2 linked regions of the Daphnia pulex genome follow. The protein of the gene in region 2 binds, or shares a complex with, the protein of the main gene of each other region. Links are inferred from orthologs where the notes say so. Each region holds a gene or a part of one and is shown on either strand. Other genes may lie near its edges.

What was found.
Region 1: pre-mRNA-splicing factor SPF27-like (region 2) and beta-catenin-like protein 1 share a complex: the UniProt entries of both Homo sapiens proteins name them as parts of the PRP19-CDC5L splicing complex. The link is inferred for Daphnia pulex from reciprocal best matches to the Homo sapiens genes BCAS2 and CTNNBL1.

What each region holds. Positions count from the first base shown.
Region 1 is NC_060022.1:2,351,930-2,355,913, forward strand, and holds beta-catenin-like protein 1, read right to left. Parts: upstream 2,801-3,984; 5' UTR 2,663-2,800; coding exon 2,633-2,662; intron 2,461-2,632; coding exon 2,156-2,460; intron 2,090-2,155; coding exon 1,758-2,089; intron 1,684-1,757; coding exon 1,460-1,683; intron 1,384-1,459; coding exon 1,235-1,383; intron 1,145-1,234; coding exon 963-1,144; intron 885-962; coding exon 525-884; intron 448-524; coding exon 359-447; 3' UTR 314-358; downstream 1-313. UniProt on the Homo sapiens protein: Component of the PRP19-CDC5L complex that forms an integral part of the spliceosome and is required for activating pre-mRNA splicing.
Region 2 is NC_060018.1:4,114,108-4,117,037, reverse strand, and holds pre-mRNA-splicing factor SPF27-like, read left to right. Parts: upstream 1-1,157; 5' UTR 1,158-1,218; intron 1,219-1,288; 5' UTR 1,289-1,340; coding exon 1,341-1,445; intron 1,446-1,636; coding exon 1,637-1,729; intron 1,730-1,797; coding exon 1,798-1,970; intron 1,971-2,035; coding exon 2,036-2,146; intron 2,147-2,207; coding exon 2,208-2,373; 3' UTR 2,374-2,430; downstream 2,431-2,930. Other genes in the region: uncharacterized protein LOC124189006, read right to left, coding at 1-93, 301-478, 1,402-1,433, 2,662-2,740, 2,805-2,907. UniProt on the Homo sapiens protein: Required for pre-mRNA splicing as component of the activated spliceosome. Component of the PRP19-CDC5L complex that forms an integral part of the spliceosome and is required for activating pre-mRNA splicing.

The DNA.
Region 1 (3,984 bases), on a different chromosome or scaffold from region 2:
TCGGCCCATGCACCTGGCCGAAGTTTTAGAGAACATTGTAAAACATAAAAAAATGTATGCTGGTTGCACAGTAATTGAGAAGCTCAGTTTTCGGAGGAATAACTGTCGAAAGTCATATTAACTGGAACGACCCCCATCAAGGAAAAAGGGCTATTAGTCTGCGTTTAGTCTCAGTCTCTTTATGGCAAATCCTGGAAAGTGCGTCTATAAAACGTACGTATAACCACGACCCCTCATTTCTCGAAATAGAAGATCAAACGGAGGTATGCGTGTCTGCTTCGAAAGAATGTTGCAACTTGCTCGATACAAAAAGTCTCGATTGGAAAATTTGTATTGTAGTTACGACTGCTGAGTGATCTTAAAACTTGTCCAAGAGCTGAAGGATGTGTTGTTTCTCTTCTTCTTTCGCTTCGCTTTCACTGCCATCGCCAAGATTTCCTGCGTACTCTGCGCGAAGGACCAAATAAATATTAGTTTAACTTGGACAAGGGCTTTACGATTGGACGAAAAGCGAAAATATTTACCTCTCATTATTTCACGAATTGTCTTGACTGTGCCTCCTCTCAAATTGAGCGTATGCAAAACGCGCTGCTTGATGGTTGCGGCTCCTGAGGCGCAAACTTCCATCATAATGTAGTCCACCAGCTGAAGCGTGAACAATCCACCTTCCAGACGTTTAAGGTACATTTCGTCCTCGTCCTCTTCGTCGTCGTTCCGCTGGAGTTGAGCGTCAATCACGCGTAATTTGTCGAAGTATTTGAAGTGCAACTCCATCAGTCGATCGGTTTTTTCGTGGTCGTTTTCTGTAAACTTCGTCAGAAGTCTGGTGCGCTGTGATCCTCGGCACGACTTTAGCATACTTGCAATCACCGAGACTATATGTTCTAAAAAAACGATTTACACGGGTCACGTTTTATAAATTTGTGATGCACATCAGTATTTGCACTATATTTTATATTTACCTTCATACTCTTCTGCTGACATCCCCTTTCTCTTCAGTTTATGCGGCGTTTTCATGAATAGCGGAAAAATAGTCCTTAAGCCGAGGATGTCCACAAATTTGGTGCAATTATCTTTACCGGCCTCACCACTAAGTGCGTGATTCAAAACCTTTAACGCGCCATTTCTGGACATTTTTTTCTCTCTGTAAAGAAAGTGGGGAAAAAAACGGGTCAGGCTTCAAGATCAACAATATGAATGGTAGCAAGCCGGATCGTGGGAATTTCAACAATACCGCAACATGAGGTTCATAAGTTGCAAGCCCTCTCCCTTCAGAAATCTGTCGCGGTTGGGAACGTGAATCAGACTGGAACAAACACAATCGAACAAATTCTCCATCATTTCTTGTTCTTCTCCTGTTTTGGGATCTTGCCGCTTGAAAATCTGCGAGAAAATAATTAAAAAAATGACTTGCACTTTTACACAAATGAAAAATGAATGAAGAAAAACGTTTTCTTACGGCTAACTGTTGAAGCAAAATATCAATTCCGTCAATTTCACCCAGAAGTTGCCGATTTTCTGGTGTGCCTTGAAGCAAAATGGACAATATTTCACTGCAATATAGTTTGTTGGCGTCGAATGGTAATTTAGCTCTTAGCCGCTTCATTATCCAACTCAGCAACCCCTGTTGGGCTGCTTGTTGACACACTTCAGGCCTAATTTCCGTTAAGTTTTCCACAATGGCTGAAAGAACAAATTATTTTGTGAACAAAAACTGGGTACTTATGAATTATAGAAACATAAATGATCGTCTATACCTAGTGTATTGTGAACTCCGTCAGATTCTTCTGTTTGAGCTTCGTTTAGTCTTTCCAGGTTGTGGACTAGGAGGGCACAGATTTGCTGGTCCAGGAGTGCATCAATTAGAATTGCAGCTTCATCTTGACTTTCATTCAGAGTATCAATGTCAGTCAATTCTTGAAGCAAATTGACCACAGCGACAGAAATGTCTGCATTGTCATGTGACAATAGACCTAGCAATGTTGGTATAAGCTTTTGTTCAACACCTACTGTGTATAGTTCAGGAGCTGTTGCAAGTGCATGCATCAGTTGAATTGCTTCATGCAATTCCAATTCTGATTCCATAAACCTAAAAGATAAAATAAAAACTATTATGAAGAATGATGACAAAACAAGCAGAGGATAGGAATCATACTTCTCTGGCGCATCTGGAAATTTAACACGTAGTTCTTGATTTTTCAGAACCCGCTTTTCAAAATTTAGAATCATTCTCTTTAGGGAGGCTTCATCAAGGCTTTCAGAACCTTCATCTTGCTCTACCAATTTGAGCAATTCTTCTTTTTCTGGAGTTTCAACAACTGGGGGAGCAATATATGTGGCTGTTGATCTTGGGTTTGGCTTTACATTACTGGTTGGAAACTGTTTAAGTTTCTTTCCGGGACGTTCAAACTCTGGCTCTTTATCATCATCTGCAACATCTCGTTTGGGGTTTTGTTTTGGCTGTAACAAGAAAGTAGTGATTAATCATAATAAAACAAATGAAAGCTTTCAAAATAATCCAACAAATGCCATTGCAATATATGCTCCATGCAATCCCATAACATCCAATGCTTCTGTTTCCCCTTAATGGACTTATAGCTAAAGAAGTGTTAATACAAACTGATTTACACACCTTAAAAGATAAAAGTTCACCGACATCCATTGCAGATATTCGATTAAATTAAATAATGAACCAGCATAAACAAAATTTGAAGAGATCTTTTGGAACTTTCAACTTTTTAAAAAACACGATGTGTCAAACATGAAAATAGAGTCATCTACCGTTAGGAATATCAGAATAAAAACGCCATCTGGCCATAAGTAATGAAACTCGATGGGTCGATTTTATGATTAGTGTTGTCTGCTTTCGTTTTGTTTGAAAGTTTCGAAAAAGAAAAAGAGACAAAGATTTTTGGGGGGAAACGTTACGTTGCTGCACGAAAAATAGCACTAAAAATTAAAAACAAAAATGTGATTGCCGTGTCAACTCTGGTCGCCGGTCGCGTGTCTTTATAGAATCGCTTAATGCACATACACATGCTGCTTTAGCAGGTAAAAAAACCCCATAAATTCAAATAGAATGACTGACTAGCATGTATCATGTAATAAGGGGCTTACATGATAAGTGTTGCTATTGCATGTGTGTTTGTGAGCACTATGTAACATTCTCATCTTTGTGCAGATTTGAGGCCAGAGCCAACCATCAAACCACAACATATGCAAGTTTTGCTTGTGCCAGTATTCACAGTGTCATCAGCAACAATCTTAGTATCATCACTCAGGTAATGATTTTCGTTACTTTTATTAACCTGTTAGATGTTTTAAATAGCCATCACTTGCAGAGTGTTACAGGGAATTCTTACATTCTCTTGTCCATTAATAAATAGGATTCATCTGCTGTCTTGTTTTCTATTTATCACTAATTGTTTCTGTAAATATTTTTCGTAACTCATATTTCATATTTGATTTTTATTTAGATAGGATTTATAGCATCCCGTTTGATTGGAGAGACTATCACCGATGTCGACCGAATTTCTTCCCCTTTCTTGGAATGTCCTCTTTACACCCATGTGAACGTGGACTTAAAGGCTTTAAGGTAGAAAAACATTTATCTAAATTCTTCCTTTTTGACTGTTACTTGGCGTTGATTATAAATTTTTGAGTACGATTATTCCTGAGCTATGCGGTTGACCGGAACGGTTTTCTCTTGCCGTTTTTGTTTACTCGGTCAGGGTTTGAAAAAGTGGTTGCTCATTTGTAGAACGGCTGCAGTTCAGGCCCTGTTTTGTACCTCACAACTTTGTCTATAGGTAAAAAGTCCAATTCAAAAATATTTCAACTTCAAACACTTAAAGCAAAGTGCAACTAGAAAAATTTTATGACGAAAGAGGGTCCTTGGTCGCCACACTGGCACTCGTTCTTAAAATATTCCCTCGGTTAACCCTCGTTTTCAATTAGAGAAATTTTTAAGAAAGTTTTTATAAA
Region 2 (2,930 bases):
CCTGACCGGAGCGATGGGTACCACCTCCTCGGACACGGGGAATACGAGCCACAGCACGACCAGTACCCCATGATTCAGCACTTGTCTGATGACCTGTAATAGGAAAGAAGAAGATTAACAATCACACCATTACATGTGTGTATGAAGTTTGTCCGGTTGCCCAACCCCTCACTTTAAGAAAACAAAGCGAGAAAGGCCTCAGGGACTCGCTTTAGTGTTGCACACTGCACAAGAAGAGTCTGACGTACAATTACTCCTACATTTCAATGCTGTGTGCCATATAATTGGCATACAAGTTACCTGCTTTCTCGCTGACACAATAAGGGTGACGACGATTCATTGACATTTGTTGTTGAACAAAGCTGACAATGTCTGGCCTAATGGGAGCCCTGAAGATTGCAGGGAGCTGGATGCTGGTTCCAGAGGCCTCAGCCTTCTCATTGTAAACGGTAATCAACGGCCTCGCGACCACCTTACTCTGTAAAACAAAATGGATAAACAAATTAGATTTAAGATTTTCAAGAGACAACACTTGAATTTACACAAACTTTGAACTAGATGTACCAATTAACCAAAACATAACAATAAACCAAGAACGACGTTGAATTAACATAGAAAAACAGCAAGAGCCCATTTGACACGAGGACGAAACCACGCTGTGGGTAACATTTTACTCCCAAACTTTCGCCATAGATTAACAAGAAAATGGCTTAGAAAAATATACGCACGCAAGAATTTTCTTAAAACACGTTTCTCCCGTTAACCTTTTTACTTACTATTCGTAAATTAATGTATGTAAAAACTAGTAAAATGTTTGGAGAACCTCATGCTTACCATCTTGGTAGATAGTCCTGACCGGGTAAAAAGGCGAATGAAAGAGACCCACAGTAATGGCGACAAAGAGGAAGTCTACAATGTTGCCGGCATACTTTGAGAATTGCCGCCCTCTACGTTCCGTTTTTTACTTGATTATTTACTTGAAAAATTACAGATTATTCACTGAACTGATCCACTGTTTAATAACAAAAATTATGGAGTTTCAATTGATGATTTCAAACATTTTAATGGAGTGATTAGTTATAAAATTTTTAATATTGTTTTATTTGTTTCACAATGCAACGGTGTCCAAAATATTATTGAATAAAATTTAATATACCAATTTATTTTCATATTTTATTCATTTAAAGGAAGTTAATGATCTTTATTCATTATCAAAAAGTAAGTTTATGAATAATTAGACATAATGAAAATCAATTACTAAAACTGTGGCTCATATTTATTAATCCAGCAGAAAATCTGACAATCTTGCTGACAACAGACAGTTTGACACAAATCACAAAATGCCGATTCCGTCAACAAACATTTCCACGCCGAACGAAAGGATTTTGGTTGACGATTTACCATACGTTGACCAAGAATATGGAGATCCAACTCTACGAGAAGCGGTAAGCAAAACTTATACATTGCAAACTTTGAAATATTTGAATCGCTTCGAATTGAGGCTTGGAGATTCTTGTGTTAGCCTAGTCATCTCTAACATCAATACATTATTGTACTAGACCATAGTACTGTATGTTGCTGAGAACTCTCGCTCTTGTCCAATAGTTGTTTAATGAGAGTAATTTCTTTCTATCAGGCACTTGCATTGGTTGATGAAGAGACACGAAGATATAGACCAACCAAAAACTACCTAGAACATCTTCCTCCACTTGAGCTGTCAGCATTTGAAGTAAGAACTGTCTGCATGGAAGTAATGATAGGAGTGTGTAATAATTATGGAAATTATCATGTTCATAGACTCCTTTGATGAAGACTGAATTTGAGCGACTGTCTCAAAAGAAACCAATGGATGTTTTGAGCATGAAACGATATGAACTCCCACCCCCATCTGCTGGTCGTCTAAATGATCTTCAAGCATGGATAGAGTGTGTTGATAATTCAATGGCTCAATTAGAACATCAAACAACAAGGTTTGTTTTCTAAAAAAAAATTTTACAGCAACCATAAATTTAAAAAAATTTCAATTAAAAAACAGGATTTTGAACTTGGAATTAATGTCAGAGTATGGTTGTGAATCATGGAGAATTTATAACACTGTATTGTCCCAGATGATCCAACAATCTCAGAAGCATCTTCAGGAATTTAAGTATGATTTCAGTAAAGTAGACACCATATTGCAAAATACACTATTATATTTTTCTTTACAGGAAACAAATCCAAGATGTCAATTGGGCTAGAAAAAAAGATCAGACAGAGGTTGGAGACAAAATGAAACATTTGGAAGCCACTTGGTTTGGTTTGATCACTAAAAACTACGAAATCGAACTCGCGTGTGCTGAAATTGAGAGACAGTTAGCTTCACTTAATGAATGAAATTCAATGTAAACCTACTTTATCGAATTCGGATAATACACTGCAACAGGAAATTGATTCATCCGAGATTTTCAGTAAGTGACAACCAAAAAGATTTGGTTGTAAGGGAACAAAACAAAAAAATAGTATAAAGTCATGCACTTTCAGATTAGCTTGTCTTATAAATGGTAAGTAGCACGTTCTGATTTTATATATCACACAATTGAAAACGAGAAGAAGCGTATGAGTACAGCAAAGCGTAATTCAGAGAAGGGTAAAAAAAAGGGTAAGATCATAGGGAAGTCTCACTTGGGGCTGAACTTAAAGGTAAAGGGCGGACGGAAGACTCATCTTCCAGCACCATAACTCGTTGCTTTAGGACGCGAACCTGATAATCACATGACATTTTTATGTCGGTCACACTTGATAACTCGTAATTTTTCTCTATATACCTGCATTGCATGTCTTTCCGACATGTTGACCATTTGCTGCTCTAGTCTTTTTAATCGAGATTGGTACTTTTTCTTAGTCCTCTCAAGAAGTTGGACCAACGTCCTGAAAATTAGTTTACGGATATT